5 linked regions of the Macaca fascicularis genome follow. Each later gene encodes a partner of the first gene's protein in a complex. Links are inferred from orthologs where the notes say so. Each region holds a gene or a part of one and is shown in the gene's direction. Other genes may lie near its edges. The genes, in order: SNRNP40, AAR2, LSM4, SART1 and LSM8.

Region 1 (3,514 bases):
CTCCCAAAATGCTGGGATTACAGGTGTGAGCTGTCACACCTGGCCTGTTTAGTGAATTTTTGAACTAATTTTGTAAAGTTTGTATTCTTTGTCCTGTGTTACCACTGAATTCTTTTTTTTTGTTAGCTTAGTGGTCAGCTAGTGAATGACAGAAGTTTCCTAAATTACCTACAACAACAAGAACAAAAGCTCTCCCAGTCTTTGCAGATTGTCTTTTGGTATGTTGGAGCCTGCCTTCAACTCCTTGCTGTGCAGTTTACATCTCTCCTTAGCTTTCACTTCCTGCTTGTGCAGAGCCTGAAGGTCAACCAGAGAGCTTATGGCCTTCTCAGATCTTTTCTAAGTATGTGCCCAGCCCTGGACATGCAAGTGGTCTAGATTGCCAGGGATGGGCCAGGCATGGTGGCTCATGCCTGTAATCTTAGCACTTTGGGAGGGCGAGGCAGACAGATCACTTGAGGCCAGGAGTGTGAGACCAGCCTGGTCAACATGGCGAAACCCTGTCTCTACTAAAAATACAAAAATTAGCTGGGTATAGTGGCACGCGCCTATAATCCCACCTACTCGGGAGGCTGAGACAGGAGAATTGCTTGAGCCTGTGAGGTGGAGGTTGCAGTGAGCCGAGATCGCACCACTGCACTCCGGCCTGGGTGACAGAGGGAGACTCTGTAGGTAGGTAGGTAGGTAGGTAGATAGATAGATAGATAGGTAGGTAGGTAGGTAGGTAGGTAGGTAGGTAGGTAGGTAGGTAGATAGATAGATAGATAGATAGATAGATAGATAGATAGATAGATAGATAAGATAAGATAGATAGATAAGATAGATAGCCAGGAATATGTCAGTGCTTTTCAAAACTCTTACTCCCCAAATTGTCTCCTTCCCCAGCCCTTCCTCCCAAGGTTTTTGGTTTGTATTTTTGCCCCAACTGTTTTTCCTTGCCCCCAGGCACCAGAGGCTAATAATATCCTTTCCTTTAAATGTTTTCTTTTTTTTTTTTTTTTTTTTTTTTTTTTTTTGAGACGGAGTCTTGCTCTGTCACCCAGGCTGGAGTGCTGTGGCCGGATCTCAGCTCACTGCAAGCTCCGCCTCCCGGGTTCCCGCCATTCTCCTGCCTCAGCCTCCCGAGTAGCTGGGACTACAGGCGCCCGCCACCTCGCCCGGCTAGTTTTTTTTTTTTTTTTTTTTTTTTGTATTTTTTAGTAGAGATGGGGTTTCACCGTGTTAGTCAGGATGGTCTCGATCTCCTGACCTCGTGATCCGCCCGTCTCGGCCTCCCAAAGTGCTGGGATTACAGGCTTGAGCCACCGCGCCCGGCCTAAATGTTTTCAAGGAAAGTTCCAAGTTAGACAAAATAAATGTAAGTCCTGGCCGGGCGCGGTGGCTCACGCCTGTAATCCCAGCACTTTGGGAGGCCGAGACAGGCGGATCACGAGGTCTGGAGATCGAGACCATCTTGGCTAACACGGTGAAACCCCGTCTCTACTAAAAGTACAAAAAACCAGCCGGGCGAGGTGGCGGGTGCCTGTAGTCCCAGCTACTCGGGAGGCTGAGGCAGGAGAATGGCGTAAACCCAGGAGGCGGAGCTTGTAGTGAGCCGAGTTGGCGCCACTGCACTCCAGCCTGGGCGACAGAGCAAAGACTCCGTCTCAAAAAAATAAATAAATAAATAAATAAATGTAAGTCCTTTGAGCTTATCCTTCAGGGAGCCACCAGACAAGTAAAAATAAACAATTTTTATTGTTTATTCTTTGACAATAAGAAATAGGCCCCCCTTTGCTTCCTCAGTACTAGGAAACCATACTGGGAATATGGGTTATCTTCAAAGCTGTTGCTGAGCGGGAGACAGAGCCAGCACAAGTTAAAACACTACAAAACCCTTTTACTGGGACTCAGGGGTTTTTTTGTTTCCTTTTTCCTCATTAAGGGTTTGCCTGGTTACTATAAACTTTTGATTAGTTATGAGAGTTCCGACAGTTGATTCTGACAGGTTTTTGCTGGTTCATTTGTTGTTTTGTGGAAGGACAAGCTTTTGTCATTGTTTATTATACTATTTTCACTGACGTACCCGCTCTCTATTTTTTTAAATGTGGGTTGCAGCCCACTAATGAATTAGTATCTACAGTTTGAAAAAATTGTCTGATATCCTTGTTGTCCTAAAAAATATATGAACCAAGTAATTAGTGGAATTCCATTCTAAGAGTATGTTGATTTAACTCTGTTTATTCACTTTAACAAAGAAGTCTGAAAATATAACTGAAGTTTTGTTTCACCAGCCTTCAAATGTCTTAGCAAAATTGAGGACACTGCTTACCATGTGTGTTATTAGGATATCCAGGAGTTAGTGAAATGGGATCCCAATTATAGATGTGTTCATGTTCACAAAGTCCTTGTACTTAGGGATATTTGTACTGTGCAGTTACTTCTTAGAATGATATTAATGATAGACCCTGTTGTCCTTTGCTTCAGCTTTGGGACATCCGGAAGAAAGCAGCCATCCAGACATTTCAGAACACGTACCAGGTGTTAGCTGTGACCTTCAATGACACAAGTGATCAGATTATTTCTGGTGGAATAGACAATGATATCAAGGTATGTTTGATGTTTATGATATATTTCCATTTCACCCATCTGCACTTAGAAACAAATTTTTTCAAACTTCTGAAATTGTGGTAGCTTTGCACTTAATACCAACTGAAAGGAAAATAGTAATTTGGAACTTATTTTCTTTTTCTCCTGTCTTCATTGACTTCCTAAATTAAAGGTTGCACTGCAGATCTTATAAATGCTGTCAGGGACCAGGCACTTAATGTGAAGTGTGAAGTCTCTGTAGGGGGACTATGTAAAAAATAAAGAGTGCATTTCCTTTTAAAGACATTCAGAATCTTTTTTTAACCATCTTAGTTTAATGGGAGCAGTGAATCAGTTTGTGATTCTGTATCCTCATCTCTCACTGTGTTTTTCTTTTTGACACTATGGAAAGGGAGTTTTCTAAGTTTCTCTAAGAATGAGAGAAGGTAATGATATTAAAGAGGCAATAGACCATATGGCAGTACAGTGTAGCTCAAACTTTCAAGTAATTGACTTGAGTTCTAATCCCAGTTTCACCATTTTCTAGTTTTGTGACTTCAACACCTTCTTTAAGCCTCTTTTTCTTGTGTGAATGCTGAGGGGGTAGTGATAACAAAAACTACCACATGGCATCTACCACATACCATTGTAGCGATTAAATGAGCCTGATTAGAGCACTTAGCAGAATTCCTGGACATAACAAGTGCCAGGAAATGTGTTATTTTGGTCCTGCACGGCTTCTGTCTTCCTTTCCTATTGGCTTCCTTGGGGATCTTAACGACTTTGACCTTACCTTCTGCTTTATAGTGAGAATAGTAACTGTCAGATAAATACTCAACTTTCTGTGTTGTCCTTTCCTAGAAGTTGTACTGTATTTCCATCCCTCGTTGTTTCCTTTGCTGTTACTTTGGATGAAATATCCTTGCTTTTGGCCAGGTGCGGTGGC
Region 2 (3,514 bases), on another chromosome or scaffold:
CAGGTATATCTTCATGCATTAGTATTTTCATGTAATAAGTAACTTTTGAAAGTCTGGCTTAAAAATGAATAGAAATCCTGTCTTTCTACCTCTTAAACATTTCAATTCTTCAAAATATATCTTGTGAAAAAGTCTGTTACAGGAATAACTTTGTTGGGTTGTTTTTTTTTTTTTTTTTTTTTTTTTTTGAGACAGGGCCTCACTTGGTGACATGGGCTGGAGTGCAGTGGCATGATCACAGCTCACTGCAGCTTCAACCTCCTGGGCTCAAGTGATCTCCCACCTCAGCCTCCTAAGTAGCTGGGACCACAGGTGTGTGCCACCACGCCCAGCTAATTATTTTTGGTAGAGATAGGGTCTCCCTGTGTTGCCCAAGCTTGTCTCAAACTCCTGAACTCAAGCAATCCTCCTCCATTGACCTCTCAAAGGGCTAGGACTATCCCTGCCACCACACCTGTCCAGGGATAATTTTGAATCTACATCACAGCTCTTTGAAATTATTTTTGATGTCATAATTAAATTTTAGACAAGGTCAGAAATGCACAAATTTAAATAAATGTCCTAAATGCAAAGAATAGGCTAATATTTAGTTTCACAAACCAAGTAAAGCCAGCTGAAGAAGCAAATCATTAACGTATATTACACAAAGAAAATTTGACTGTATTTGAAAATACTGGTCAGAGATCCAAAATATCTCAACCAGGTAGCTATTCACATACATCAAACTTAGTTCCATATGCTTAGGACAGGGAGCTAGTTTTTCCAGGTCTCTGGAAGTGGCAGAGATCAAACACTATGCATTTAAAGAGGTATTTGGTGTTGAGTGCATCTCTTCTTTTTATGGCCCACATGGACATATACCTCATTAAATTTCCAGCCACCTTTGAAGTAGAGAGAATGCCTGTGATGAGTGGCAGTAATTCTACAGTAACTTCCAGAGACCCCGTTACTTGCCCAGGGACAGTGGTGTCTGGATCATCAGGTCTCTTTGTTTGAGATGGGCATCTGATAGAAATTGGGAACATAATATTTTTTGAGTGCTACTTTGTGCCAGGTGTTATTCTAAATGCTTTACGTGTACTGTATCCATTCATTTAATCTTTGCTGCAACCCTCAAATAAGGAAATCCAGGTCTTAATAGATTGAGTAACTTGCCCAAGGTCACACAGCTGCTAAGTGGCAGAGCTAAGATTTGAATCTAGGCAGTTTGGCTCCAGAGCCCATGCTCTTAGCCACCAAGCTGCTCATAGAGATTAAATCACGGAGCCCTGTGATTAAGCAAACAAAAAATAATCTGGCTGGCATGCTGACCCTGGAATAAGTACTCAGGAATTTTTCTCTGGTGGGAGGTCCTAGAACTGTTCCCACCCAATAGAGAATCTGTTTTATCTTTCCATTGCCCACATTGTGAAGCATTGAAGTGCGGCCTTGGGCAAGCCCTTGACCTCATCTGTAAAATGAGGCAAATACCACCTTCCTGATCGCCTGTGGAGTTGGGCTGAGGGTTACATGGTGTAGTGCAGTATTTCTGTGACCCTGGAGCAGACCATCCGCATCAGAATCCCCTGGGGAGCTTGTCAGAGCTACAGATATGAAGGCCCCATCATCTCTCCTCAACCAGAACCTCTGAGGGGGAAGCTTGGGTAGCTTTACTTTTAACAGACTCTCAGTGATTCTGATGGGCAGCCAGGTTTGAGAGCCACTTGGCATAATATCCATGAACACATTTTGTAAACTTAAAATGCCAGGCAAATACTGGGAATACTTCTTCTCTTGCAGTCTGACTTTACAGAAATCCAAAGCCACAGGTTGGTTTCCCATGGCTTGAATTCATAGCGGTTCAGCAAACATTTGTTGAGTACCTGTTAGGTGCAAAATCCCATGCCAGGCTCTGCAGGAGTGACAAGGATAAAAAGTAATCTGTTGCTGAGGTCCAGTGGAATTGATGGCCTTGTGAACAGTGATGGAGAGTGTCATCTGGTTCTCCTCTCCCTCAGAATCACTTCTCCTCTCTGCACCTTTCAGGTGAACTCCAGTTTGCTTTTGTGTGCTTCCTGCTGGGGAATGTGTATGAGGCATTTGAGCATTGGAAGCGGCTCCTGAACCTCCTGTGCCGGTCAGAAGCAGCCATGGTGAAGCACCACACTCTCTACATCAACCTCATCTCCATCCTGTACCACCAGCTTGGTGAGATCCCCGCTGACTTCTTTGTAGACATTGTCTCCCAAGACAACTTCCTCACCAGCACCTTACAGGTGAGCAGTCTTTCTGACTGAGCTGATGCAGATGTGGGTCAGAATTGAGGCAACAGTATGTGTTTTGTTTCTTGCTATTCTTCCATGACCCAAAAATGTTTATATTTCAGTTTCCTAGTCTTGGGATATTTCCTGGTTTTCTCTCTCTTACTCAATTGTGTTTCTATGCCAGAAATTTTCTCTCTGTACCACGCTCACCCTATACCTCATCCCCAGTGTGCCTAAGTACAGTGGGGTACTTGGATTTGAATTCCTTCCACTGCTTTGGTTTACTCAGCTTAAAACAGCTTTTCTTTCTCCCTGTAGCCATGAATTGCTACAACCCAGTAAAGCAAAGTTTTGAAGTTTTTTATTCCCAGTGAAACATCTGCAGCTCCTTAGATCTCATTTAAGCATTAAAATAACTTTGATTTCCTGTTCAAACAAAATGTGCCAGTTTCTGCAGAGATTCTATGACAGAAAAAGTGAAATTTGCTTTTAACTTGGCAATTAAATTTTCATTATGAGTGGTAATTAGGAAAGAAGCTTCAAACAACTTACAATCTTCATCCTATGCTATTTCCTCCCTTTGCAAACAGATTAGTTTCCTTTATGTACTTGGGACAGCCTCTGTCACTCACATTGTGTAACTTTCTCAAGAATAGAAGAGGCAGAAGCTGCCAACTATCAGTTTCCATACTTTCCCTCCCATGAGCTTCTTTCTTCTCTCTGTGTGTAGTACCCCTATGAGGCCTGCTCCATATAAGGCAGCTTTTCACCAACCTTCCAATCCCACTCAGGGTAACAGAAGGGATGAATATTCATTAAATGTTGGGGCTGGGTGTGGTGGTTCATGGTTGTAATCCCAACACTTTGGGAGGTGAAGGCAGGAGGATCACTTGAGCCCAGGAATTAAAGACCAGCTTGGGCAATATAGTGAGACCCCATCTCTACAAAAATTTTAAAAATGGCTAGGTATGGTCATGCATACCTGTAGTCCTAGCTACTTGGGAGGCTGAGACAGGAGGATCACTTAGCCCAGGAGTTTGAGGCTATAGTGAGCAATGATCGTGATCGTGCCACTGCACTCCAGCCTGGGCAACAGAGTGAGACCCTGTTCACTCATTGAATCCCTTTGGAACCCTGTAAGATGGAGGTATTATTCCCACTTTACAAATGAGAACACTGAGAACGGTTAAATCATTTACTTGAAGTCATACAGCTGGCAGATGGAGGTCAGGATTTGTACCCAGGCCTGAGTCTTGGTTTCCTGCCTGTGC
Region 3 (4,243 bases), on another chromosome or scaffold:
TTCGAGGCCAGCCTGGCCAACATGGTGAAACCCCGTCTCTACTAAAAATACAAAAATTAGCTGGGCATTGTGGCGTGTGCCTGTAATCCTAGCCACTCTGGTGGCTGAGGCAGGAGAATCCCTTAAACCCAGGACGGAGGGATTGCAGTGAGCTGAGATCCCACCACTGCACTGTAGTCTGGGTGATAGAATGAGACTCCATTTCAAAAAAAAAAAAAAAAAAAATAGGGTCTTTGCAGATGTAATTAAGGATCTTGCGATGACATTATCCTGAATTTATGGTGGGCTTAATAAGAGAAAGGCGTGTCCTTATAAGAAAACGGAGAGGCTGGGCTCGGTGGCTCACGCCTGTAATCCCAGCACTTTGGGAGGCAGAGGAGGGAGGATTGCTTGACCCCAAGAGTTCGAGACCAGCCTGGACAACATAGGGAGACCCTGTCTCTACAAAAAAAGAAAAAAAAAAGGAGAGAGTCGTTTGAGACTCAGAGACACACAGAGAAGGCCAAGTGACGACAGAGGCAGAAGGCGGAAGGCTGCATCTACAAGCCAAGAACTCCGAGGTTTCCCAGCAGCCACCAGAACCCAGGAGAGAAGCATAGGACACGCAGATTGTCCTCAGAGCCTCCAGAGGGAGCCAACCCTACTGACAACCTCATTTTATTATTCTGGTCTCCTGAATTATGAGAAAATCACGTTCTGTTGTTTTAAGCCTCCCAGTGTGTGGGCATTTGTTACAGCAGGCCCCAGGGAACTAATAGCATTCGCCTATTTACTTTGTTTACTGTCTGTCTCCCTAAGGGCCACGAATTTTGTGTACTGTTCATTTCTATGAGCAGAAGCAGGCACAGAATAGGTATTAAGTACTTAATATATGCCAGACGCTGTTTTAAGTGCTTTTACACGGTTTCATTCATTTCATCCTCATAGTAAGTAACGTTTTGGAGCAGACACTACTATTTACAGGGAGAAAACTGAGGCCCCGAGGGTCGTGGTCAGGATTCCAACCTACTAAATGATGTTCCCTGGATAATTACAGAATCAGAAAACTAGGAGTCCGAAGGGCGACACCAGGGACGTCCCAATCACCACGAAGCCTGGATTTCTCTCCCTCAACTGCAAAGGAAGTTACTGGCTTTGCCCACAGCGTGGAGCCCAGAAGACCGACGAAGGTTTCACCTGCGCACGCGTTTACCCACAATGCACCCCGCCCCGGCGCGCGTTGCTCCGCCCCCTTTTGTATTACAAGCCGCGGCACTTTACGGCTCTCTTCCTCGTTCCTCTGGCGGGAACACGGCCCGGCCCGCCCCTTTCGCCTAGCGGGCCCCGCCCTACTCCGCGTGGATTGGTTAACCGGCCTTCTAGCCCGGTGCTGACTGGCTCGCGTCTCTGCCACTTTCTTTCAGCCCAGTGGCGCGCGGCGCGGCGTGGCGAAGACCGCCGGGAGCGTGTGCAGCGGCGGCGGCGGAAGTGGCCGGCGAGCCCGGTCCCCGCCGGCACCATGGTGAGGGCAGAGCAACGGCGGGGTCTCACCGGGAGGCGGGAACCGCAGTCGTTAGGAGCCCTGCGGGCGGGCGCTGAGGGCTGGGTTGGCGCGGGGCGAACGTACGGTCCGAGCCTTGAGTCCCGTCCCCCGGCACAAGGCCGGGAAACTGATGCTGGAGACTGCAGGTGGTTCTACCACGTTCGTGTCTGGGATTTAGGGTTGCACGTACTCGTATCCACAGTACAGTGGCCTCGCCTTACTTAGTTTTCCCATTTTGCAGGTTGGGAAACTGAGGTTAAAAAAGTGGGGATCTGCCAAATGCAACAGAGAGTTTTTGGGCAGGGAAGGGGGTCCCTTACGCTTCGGACCCAGTCTGACCTCCCAGATTGAAACCTAGAATGCTGGGAAGTAGGGGGCCAGTCTGAGTTGTGAAACTTAGTTTTAGGAATTTCAGAGCTTGTAAGATGCTTAAAATGCTAGCAGCAGAGCCTCTTAGGCCTCTTGTTTTCTGGCTGAAAAGTAGGCCTGGTGCTGGGGTGTGGTGTTTCTCCTTGGTTCACAAAGCATGTCATTCCAGAGGAAGGGAGCGTTTTGAGCTAGGGGTGGGCAAAGTACATCCTCCCCGTACACAGAAGGAAAAATTGCAGCCCAGGTCTCTGCAGGGCCACATTGTTTATGATTCTGTAAGTTCTGGATCTGGGCTAGAAAGTGCCCGTGTCTCCCAGTGTGCAGATCAGAAAAGGAATCCAGAGCTGGGAGTTTCCTGGCTCATCAGCATCTGGCCCTTCTTTTTTCAATGAGAGAAACCAAGGCCCTTGTTGGGGATGTGACTTCCAGACTGTGAGACAGTGGGAGATTCAGTAACCAGGAGGGCCCCCCAGGGGTGGCTGCATCAGAACTGTGGATTAGTGAGAGAGCTCTCCCTAAATCCAGCTGGTCAGTGTGTAGCCACCCAACGGGTTCACCTTGCCTGCTTCCTAGACAGAGCCCATTTATCAAGACAGGGCAATTGCAATACAGAAAGAGTATTTCACACAGAGCCAGCTATGCAGGAGACTGGAGTTTTATTACTGCTGAAATCAGTCTCCCCTGAGCATTAGGGGATCCGAGTTTTTAAAGATAATTTGGCGGGTAGGAGCTCAGGAAGTGGGGAGTGCTGATTGGTTGGAGCTTCCTGAGGTTGGAGATGGAGTCATTGGCGGGGGGGGGGGGGGGGGGGGGGGGCGGGGGGGCGGGGGCGGGGGTTGAAGTGAGATTTTCTTGCTGTCTTCTGTTCCTGGGTGGGATTGCAGGACTGGTTGAGCCAAATTACTGGTCTGGGTGGTGTCAGCTGATCCACCAAGTACAGGGTCTGCAAAATATCTCAAACACTGATCTTAGATTTTATAATAGTGATGTTATCCCTAGGAGCAATTTGGGGAGGTTCAGACTCTTGCAGCCAGAGGCTGTATGACCCGTAAACAATAATTTCTAATCGTGCAGCTAATTTGTTAGTCCTACAAAGGCAGACTGGTCCCCAGGCAAGAAAAGGGTCTTTTCGGGAAAGGGCTATTACCAATTTTGTTTCAAACTATACACTAAATCCCTTCCCAAGGTTAGTTCGGCCTATGCCCAGGAATAAACAAGAACAGCTTAAAGGTTAGAAGCACGATGGAGTCGGTTAGGTCTGATCTCTTTTCGCTGTCATAATTTCCTCAGTTACAATTTTTGCAAAGGCGGTTTCAAGAGCAAGGATTCAGAGAGCCTGTCCCTCTGCCATGTACTTAGAGGGCAGAGTTGGCATGCAAGACTGGGCAGAGCTGGAAGGATCCATCCCTGTGTTAAGTTTTGTGGAAGCAGAATCTTTTTTTTTCTTCCAACTATATTCCCAGTGTGTAGAACGGTGCCTGGGCAAAGTGTGAACTCATTCATTCAGCCCCTTCCCACCTTCTGAACATCCAGAGTCCTGGCTATCCAGCCATTTCCTGGAGGAGTGGCCAAGAATGGACAAGGCATCATGGGATACACACTTCCAGTTCCCTGTGATCAGGGCAGGGCCAGAAGGAGTGGCCTGGGTTAGGAGCGGGGATGGGCAGTCCTGGACAGCTTCCTGAATTAGGAGGCACTGGATTAGGTCTTTGTGGATCTAGACCTGAGAACCAGATTCCAGATGCTGCAAGAAAGCCCACTAAACCTCCACCTCTCGGAGAGAGTGATTTTCCTGCCTCAGCCTCCCAAGTAGCTTGGGATCACAGGCATGCGCCACCACGCCTGGATAATTTGTGTATTTTCAGTAGAGATGGGGTTTCACCATGTTGGCTAGGCTAGTCTTGAACCCCAGACCTCAGGTGATCCACCCACCTCGGTGTGTCAAAGTGCTGGTATTACAGGTGTGAGCCACTGCACTCTGTACTTTTTTTTCTTTTTTGGAACTGAGCTCTCACTGTCGTCCAGGCTGGAGTGCAATGGCACAATCACTGCAGCCTCAACCTCACCGGCCCAAGTGATCCTCCCACCTGAGCCTCCCAAGTAGCTGGGACCACATGCGTCACTAAACCTGTCTAATTCTTACATTTTTTGTAGAGACAGAATCTTGCTGTGTTGCCCAAGCTGGTCTCATACTCCTGGGCTCAAGTGATCCTCCCACCTCAGCCTCCCAAAGTGCTGTGATTATAGGCGCAAGCCACTGTGCCAAGCCTCACCTGGCACTTTGATGTATCTTCTTTTAAGATTTTGAGGATCCACCCCTTCCTCTGACCTCTTTCTCCAACAGAGTTTGGA
Region 4 (3,514 bases), on another chromosome or scaffold:
CGAAGTGGGAGCAGGGAGGTGAAGGATTGTTCCTTCCTGTCCTGACCCCTTCTGGCCCCCTGAGCTGGAAGGGGGCAGGGTGAGTGGCTCCCTCCTCTCCCCACCAGCCATGGGCGGGCATAGCCTCACGTCTGGGCCCCCCTTCCAGAGGCGGGCACCAAGGAGGAGCCCGTGACAGCCGATGTCATCAATCCTATGGCCTTGCGACAGCGAGAGGAGCTGCGGGAGAAGCTGGCGGCTGCCAAGGAGAAGCGCCTGCTGAACCAAAAGCTGGGGTGAGGGGTCCTGGCCAGGGCAGGCAAGGGAAGGGCTGGGGAGGCCACCATCCTTGGCTGCCTTTTGAGTGGGGTTGGGAGCAGGAGCTGGGCTCCTGGAGCATCACTTTCTCCCCTCTTCAGGAAGATAAAGACCCTAGGAGAGGATGATCCCTGGCTGGATGACACTGCAGCCTGGATCGAGAGGAGCCGGCAGCTGCAGAAGGAGAAAGACCTGGCAGAGAAGAGGGTGAGCACCTGGGCAGCATGGGGTGGTTGCCCAGTGCTTTTGCTGGCCTGACTGGGCGTTGAGGCAGGGGGTCGACCCCAGAGAGGTGAGACGGGGTTCGGAGAGGGGATGGGCTGTGGTTGGTAGCATCTGCTTTGGATTCTCAGCAACTTTCCTGCAAGGCCTGCTCTTTTTGCACTCCGCTTGGTAGAGCCCTGAGTGTTTTCTGGTGGTGCTGAGTGGCCTGAGGTCCTAGGTCACCCCTCCCTGTCCCATAGGCAAAGTTACTGGAGGAGATGGACCAAGAGTTTGGTGTCAGCACTCTGGTAGAGGAGGAGTTCGGGCAGAGACGGCAGGTGAGGCTGCAGCAGCCGGGGTGGGTGGTGCAGGGCACACTGGCGGCCTTGATGCTGGAATCCCAAGGTTGGGCGCGTGGAGGGAGGTTCTTTACTCGCCTGATTCTTCTGTTAGGACCTGTACAGTGCCCGGGACCTGCAGGGCCTCACCGTGGAGCATGCCATTGATTCCTTCCGAGAAGGGGAGACCATGATCCTCACCCTTAAGGACAAAGGTGACGCGAGCTGGGTGCCTTGGGTCGGGGCACAGCCTCTGCTGAGTTGTGGACAAGTGTGAATGGCCACTGCTCTGTGCTGCCCGCAGGCGTGCTGCAGGAGGAGGAGGACGTGCTGGTGAACGTGAACCTGGTGGATAAGGAGCGGGCAGAGAAGAATGTGGAGCTGCGGAAGAAGAAGCCCGACTACCTGCCTTATGCCGAGGACGAGAGTGTGGACGACCTGGCGCAGGCACGGCCCAAGCAGGCTGGGCGGCGGGGGCTGGGGTGGAGAATGTCGGGAATAGGGGCTCTGAGGAGGTGGTGGCTCAGTGGCTTTTCAGGAGCCACCCTGGGTCCCAACCTGTACCTCTTACCTTGCAGCAAAAACCTCGCTCTATCCTGTCCAAGTACGACGAAGAGCTTGAGGGGGAGCAGCCGCATTCCTTCCGCTTGGAGCAGGGGGGCATGGCCGATGGCCTGCGGGAACGGGAGTTGGAGGAGATCCGGGCCAAGCTGCGGCTGCAGGCTCAGTCCCTGAGCACGGTGGGGCCCCGGCTGGCCTCTGAGTACCTCACACCCGAGGAGATGGTGAGCCCTCTTGCGCCTTGTACTTGGGGTCATGATTCTCCCTCCCCTTGGGGCTCCTGCGCTGCCCGCAGGCACTGGGAAGAGAGGGCAAGTATTTCTGTTCACAAAGCGCTTGGCCTCGTGGGCAAGCAGTAAATGGCAACCTGGGGAGGCACCAGGTGTTGACGGGTCAGGGCTGCTGAGCCAGATGGGCCCCAGTTGGTGTTTCTGCTCTGCCATACTGCCAGCTTGTGCCTTGGGTAAGCCATTTAACTGTGAGCCTGGGGTGCCCCATCTGGAGTGGCAGTGATAGGAGCCACCTCCTGAGGTTGCTGTGAGGATGAGTGACAGTGTGGGTGAGGGGTGACTGGAAAGGTGTGCGTGGATTCTGTCCGCAGAGTGACTGTGTGAACGTGAGGTAGTCAGCTGGTGTAGTAGGCGTCTTGCTCAGTGGGTAAGAGCAGGACTCTGGAGCCAGACTGCCCGGCTTTCCCACCTAGGAGCTGGGCGACCTTGGGGAAGGTACTTAACCTCTCTGTGCCCCAGTTTCCCTAATCACCAGTGGAAGGGAGATAGTAACCACCCCACGTGTTGCTCATGTGTGAGAAGTGCTCAGGACACTGGCTAGCACAGAAGAACACCAAAGAAGTGTTCATCCTCGCGGGCTTGTGGTGGCCTGCCTTTCCCCGCCCCGCCCCACGCCTCCCTCTTCCCCTCAGGTGGCCTTTAGAAGGACCAAGCGGAGGGTGAGGAAAATCCGCAAGAAGGAGAAGGAGGTCGTAGTGCGGGCGGATGACCTGTTGCCTCTCGGGGACCAGACTCAGGATGGGGACTTTGGTTCCAGGTGGGCTTGGACACCATGGTAGGGTGAGAGGGCTGGGCTGGGGTGTCCCGGGGGCCGGTGCTCACCAGAGAGGCCTCCTTCCCTCAGACTGCGGGGACGGGGTCGCCGCCGAGTGTCTGAGGTGGAGGAGGAGAAGGAGCCCGTGCCTCAGCCCCTGCCGTCGGATGACACCCGAGTGGAGAACATGGACATCAGTGATGAGGGTGAGAGCCTGGCCAGGAGGTGGGAGGGGGCAGGGACAGGAGCCCTGGGTTGGAGGAGATTGTCTGAGCAGGCATCCCCTGTGTATCCCCCAGAGGAAGGTGGAGCTCCACAGCCGGGGTCCCCGCAGGTGCTGGAGGAGGACGAGGCGGAGCTGGAGCTGCAGAAGCAGCTGGAGAAGGGACGCCGGCTGCGACAGTTACAGCAGCTGCAGCAGCTGCGAGACAGTGGCGAGAAGGTGAGGCTGGGCATGGGCAGGCCTGGGGCTACCAGTGCGTCAGCAGTCACCTGTCCTCACGAGCACATGTGTCATAGGCAACAGCCACATTCCTGTCTGAAGCCTCTTTTCCATTTGTTTTTTGTTTTCTGGGTTTTGTTTTTTTTTGAGACAAGTGTTTTGCTCTGTCGCCCAGGCTGGAGTGCAATGGCGTGGCCTCGGCTCACTGCAGCCTCCGCCTCCCTGGTTCAAGTGATTCTCATTCCTTAGCCTCCTGAGTGGCTGGGATTACAGGCACCCGCCACCACACCCGGCTAATTTTTGTATTTTTAGTAGAGACGGGGTTTCACCGTGTTGGCCAGGCTGGTCTCCAACTCCTGACCTCATGATCTGCCTGCCTCGGCCTCCAAAAATGCTAAGATTACAGGTGTGAGCCACTGCGACCAGCCCTGGTTAAAGTCATGTTTTCTGTTTAAAAGTCATGTTTTGCAAAAGTTTTTAGATGCCTGCTTTAGTAGGGGATCCTTTCCTGGCCTCTCTCTTCCTGTGCATGTTTGTTGAATGCCTGCTGTGAGTAGTGCATTGTTCTTGGGCCGAGAAGGTCATTGGTGAACAGGACAGCCACGGGGCCCTGGACTCAGAGAAGTGG
Region 5 (3,995 bases), on another chromosome or scaffold:
CCTGAGAATATGAGACATTCACAATCTAATTCCTGACTACATTTGATTTCAAACAGATCGGAATAACTTCCAGAATATAAAATTTTAACTATTTGGGAGTCATCTTGTAGGTATCTTGTGGGTATGCTCTAATTAAGAAATGCTTCCTTTTCCCAGGAAAACTGCTGACATTGCAAGAGTTATTCCAAAGCCACAATTCTTAAGAAAATACATGTTTAACCTAAATCATAAAGATATTTTGTAAAAAAGGGAAATCGCTCCTGCTGATGTTTTGTGTATAAATCTCTTTCTAACTTCAAGCTCTCTCAAGTTAGGGCAACACAGTAAATAAAGTGGGAACAGTATCACATTGGGAAATATCTGAAATGATACCTATGGCACTATAAGGAAACTGAGGCCCAGAAGAATTGAAGTGACCTGTGCAATGACACCAATACGTTAGCAGAGCCAAGATTAGAACCAAGTTTGGTGCCTTCCTGCATCAGTCCTTTCTTGGTGCTGAAGGAGCCTTTTATTTATTAATTTCACCCTGGAGAATTCCGGCAGACCATCCCGGCGTGGTAGAAGCGTGAACATTCGTTTTCTAAGGGATGGTCACACACCTTTTTCTATTTGCATTTAGTTTCTTTAAAAAGTAAAAACACCTCCATTTTGGACCACTTTTAGAGACAAAAGCAGAACATACGAACGTGCATTTCATTGTTGAGTTCTTAAGACGCTTACACCGTGTGGTTATAACGTGCGCAACTTTGTCCCGGCCAACTGGACTTATTTTTAGTGTTATTTTCGGCTCCTGCTGCAGAAAACTAGGGATTCAACTACCCGCACCCGCATTTCACACAACAGCGCTCGTCTACTCTCCTCCTTCACTCCTAATAAAAAACGCCTTATCCTGTTTCTTCCTGCCTGCTCTACCTCAACATTTTCACTTATTATCTTCCACCACACTGGGTTTTACTCGGATTGGAAACCCACTCTCCCCCAACTTCTCTCTCGTACCCCACCTTCGGGAAGCGTCCTCCTTTTTTCCGCCTCTCGTTCCCTTTGTCTTACACGGCTTCCGGAACACGGCCCAGAATTACAGCGAAAACACACTGCGCACGCGCACTCTCTCGTCAGAGCGGCGCTGCTTCTGTTTGGTTGGCTAGTTCGTCCCAATTTCCGAGTCAAAGGGCTGCGGAGCAGCAACTCTCACGATATTTGCGGCGGCCCGCAGACGCGAACCGCTGCCGAGTTCTGGCGCGCCCTTTCAGTTCTGCTTGTGGCCGGCACCACTGCGTTATCCGGAACTGCCGGTCCGAGCAGCATGACGTCCGCCTTGGAGAACTACATCAACCGTATCCTCAAGCTGGCCGCCGCGGGCGTGAGCCGGGGCCGCGGAGAGACCGCCGCTCGGGGATCGGTGGGAAGTTGGGAGGCCCGGCCGCGGCGGGATCCTGGGGGCGGGCGAGATGAGGACCCCGGAATGACCCAGAGTTCGGCGGCGGCGCCTAGAGCCTGCCAGCTGCTGCGGGCCCAGGGGTCCTTTCCATTTTGTCTACAAAAGCCAAATAAAAACCCAGTGTGATTTTTCCGAACTTTTCTGTCTTAAAAAAAATTACGCTCTTGATTCTTCCTTACTATTTCCCTAGGGCATAAGTGTTCAAGTTTGTAAATAAGATTAACAGTCGTCCTGGCTGCGACAACAGTTTTGCAAATCTGTGTACTTGTTTTATTCACATAATATGCTCATTAGTTCGAGGATAGCAGAAAGTTTAACGATGGTTCACAGACTGTTTCTGTCCCTTTACCACTTGAAGACCCTACCTGGTGGTGGAATGAAAAAAATGCTTGCTGTTGTAATGGATTATAGTGAGGAGCAAGTAACAACCCCACGGGAAGTCTTAAAATAGACTTTACAAGTGTTACCGTTTTAAAGTCTCAGAACAAAAACACTATGTTAAGTTCAGGTACAAACTGGGTGACAAAAATTAAATACCGAATGCTTTTAATGTTACAGGCATTGTTAGTACCTTGTGACACTGATTATATAGTTTATTTACTTTTGAATTACAGAAGCCTGCCCCGGAAGACAGTTTTTTAACATGCTTGAAAATCGTCCAACATCGATGAATTTAGTACTCATCCAGTTTTCATTTTAGATATAAACAGGCCCAAGAAACGAAATATCCTGTCCGAAATAATAGATTGGCAGCATTCCTAGTAGAAAAGTGTCAAAAATCCAGGATATTTTGAGATAGGATACACCGATCACATACAGAAAGAGGTTTTCTTTTCTATTTTTTCCTTTTTTTAGTCATGTAATTATCACAAAACTAAAACAAGCTTTTAAAAAATTTTTTTTCTTTCTTTTTTTGAGTCGAGGGTCTCACTGTGTTGCCCAGGCTGGAGTGCAGTGGCTTGATCATGGCTCAATGCAACCTTGAACTCCTGAGCTCAAGCTATCCTCCTGCCTCTGCCTCTGTCTCCTGAGTAGCTGGGACTATAGGTCACCAGGCCAGGGTAGTAGAGATGGGGGGGGTCTCACTGTGTTTCCCAAGCTAGTCTCACCTCAAGTGATCCTCCTGCCTTGGCGTCCCAAAATCTTTCAACGTTTTTATGTAGTGAACTTAGTGGCTGTGTTGAACACTTTTACCTAATTGTCATATTTGTTCTAATAATTTAAATCATTACCTTGCCAGAGTCTGTTTTCAATTTGCATTCCCTAAGAAACACTTTCCTTTATTCAGTTATCAGGAACTGTTGCCGTTATTACATCTGATGGGAGGATGATTGTGGTAAGTCTTCGGAATTTTCATTCTCTGCTTTCCTGTAGGTTTATTGGTTGCAAGTTTTATGTGAAACCTCTGATCTCTAATGCCTAGACAGCACATTACACCTGTAGTGCAGTTTTATTATAATTCAGCTCTTTATCACTTTGCTGTCAATCCACGTTTTCCTCACTCATAAACGTGGCGTGTTACCTACAAGGCTTCTAGGAGCTAGAGTTATAGATTCTGCCCTCAGAGAGCTCCTAGTCTGCAGACCTTCATTAAACTTACTTTTCTTCTTCCATTTTTATTTCCTTCCTCATTCGGCACCACATGAATCAGAATTTTTTGAAATTTTGCATATGCTTAGTAACTTTTTAATGATTTAGATACTATTAATATCTACATATCAACATTTAAGGCTTGTATACAATCTTAACATTCTTTGTTTTTAGGTTGTGTGACATGTCTTCTGTAGGACACATTATGATGATTGACTCTCTCTATATACACATATTTACGTAAAATTGGCTTGTTCCTTGAAGTTGTTTCTCCCTTGCTAATTTATGTCATATAACAAAGATAAAACGTTCCTATGGTGATACTTGTATTTGGAATTTGATCTGAGGAATTCATCTCAAGATTTTTGGGCACTTGATTATTTCTTCACTTATAATTCCTACTCCAAATGCTTTCAAAAGAATTTTAAGGCTACTAAACTTTTCTAACCCTACCTAGTTTCTTTAAATAATTTGATCCCTTATTTTTCCATTCTGCAGTTTTGCTTTCGTTTGTTCTTAGTGACTATTGTTAGTCAAAGTTCTAGCTTTGCCATTTACTAAATTTATATCGTGTGCCAGGTGCATATGTGTTACATTAATTAATGTACATACAACCTTGTGAAGAATAAGTACCCCTGTATTCTAGATTAGGAAACAAGTTCAGAGAAGGTGACTCACTTTCTCAGAGTCACAAGGGTAGCAGGTGACAGAACCAAACTGGGATTTAAATTTGGTTTGACATCAAAGCCAAGGCCAGTTGCCTGGCTTCTTTCTTAAGGAAGCAATCATGTTTTCTTAGGCACCTCACATTGTATTTTTTCAAATGTGGACAGTTTGACATATTTTAACCTCAACACTTCAAGAAGCCTATTGCTATTAATAGATGTTTGCATTATTTTTTATTTAGTGAAAACCTTACGTTTAAATTTTCTTATTTTTGTTAACAGGATAATAAACTGGGAAA

Evidence for each region.
Region 2: SNRNP40 (region 1) and AAR2 share a complex: the UniProt entries of both Homo sapiens proteins name them as parts of the U5 snRNP complex. The link is inferred for Macaca fascicularis from reciprocal best matches to the Homo sapiens genes SNRNP40 and AAR2.
Region 3: SNRNP40 (region 1) and LSM4 share a complex: the UniProt entries of both Homo sapiens proteins name them as parts of the U4/U6-U5 tri-snRNP complex. The link is inferred for Macaca fascicularis from reciprocal best matches to the Homo sapiens genes SNRNP40 and LSM4.
Region 4: SNRNP40 (region 1) and SART1 share a complex: the UniProt entries of both Homo sapiens proteins name them as parts of the U4/U6-U5 tri-snRNP complex. The link is inferred for Macaca fascicularis from reciprocal best matches to the Homo sapiens genes SNRNP40 and SART1.
Region 5: SNRNP40 (region 1) and LSM8 share a complex: the UniProt entries of both Homo sapiens proteins name them as parts of the U4/U6-U5 tri-snRNP complex. The link is inferred for Macaca fascicularis from reciprocal best matches to the Homo sapiens genes SNRNP40 and LSM8.

Annotation. Positions count from the first base shown.
Region 1 is NC_088375.1:203,728,167-203,731,680, forward strand, and holds part of SNRNP40 (U5 small nuclear ribonucleoprotein 40 kDa protein), read left to right. Parts: intron 1-2,466; coding exon 2,467-2,589; intron 2,590-3,514. UniProt on the Homo sapiens protein: Required for pre-mRNA splicing as component of the activated spliceosome. Component of the U5 small nuclear ribonucleoprotein (snRNP) complex and the U4/U6-U5 tri-snRNP complex, building blocks of the spliceosome.
Region 2 is NC_088384.1:92,328,592-92,332,105, forward strand, and holds part of AAR2 (protein AAR2 homolog), read left to right. Parts: intron 1-2,025; coding exon 2,026-2,255; intron 2,256-3,514. UniProt on the Homo sapiens protein: Component of the U5 snRNP complex that is required for spliceosome assembly and for pre-mRNA splicing.
Region 3 is NC_088393.1:18,687,756-18,691,998, reverse strand, and holds the start of LSM4 (U6 snRNA-associated Sm-like protein LSm4), read left to right. Parts: upstream 1-1,439; 5' UTR 1,440-1,498; coding exon 1,499-1,501; intron 1,502-4,243. UniProt on the Homo sapiens protein: Plays a role in pre-mRNA splicing as component of the U4/U6-U5 tri-snRNP complex that is involved in spliceosome assembly, and as component of the precatalytic spliceosome (spliceosome B complex).
Region 4 is NC_088388.1:8,430,002-8,433,515, reverse strand, and holds part of SART1 (U4/U6.U5 tri-snRNP-associated protein 1), read left to right. Parts: intron 1-107; exon of another isoform or gene 108-148; coding exon 149-275; intron 276-398; coding exon 399-504; intron 505-761; coding exon 762-839; intron 840-954; coding exon 955-1,054; intron 1,055-1,143; coding exon 1,144-1,286; intron 1,287-1,417; coding exon 1,418-1,624; intron 1,625-2,322; coding exon 2,323-2,447; intron 2,448-2,534; coding exon 2,535-2,650; intron 2,651-2,743; coding exon 2,744-2,886; intron 2,887-3,514. UniProt on the Homo sapiens protein: Plays a role in mRNA splicing as a component of the U4/U6-U5 tri-snRNP, one of the building blocks of the spliceosome. May also bind to DNA.
Region 5 is NC_088377.1:159,620,920-159,624,914, forward strand, and holds the start of LSM8 (LSM8 homolog, U6 small nuclear RNA associated), read left to right. Parts: upstream 1-1,195; 5' UTR 1,196-1,306; coding exon 1,307-1,337; intron 1,338-2,736; coding exon 2,737-2,777; intron 2,778-3,995. UniProt on the Homo sapiens protein: Plays a role in pre-mRNA splicing as component of the U4/U6-U5 tri-snRNP complex that is involved in spliceosome assembly, and as component of the precatalytic spliceosome (spliceosome B complex).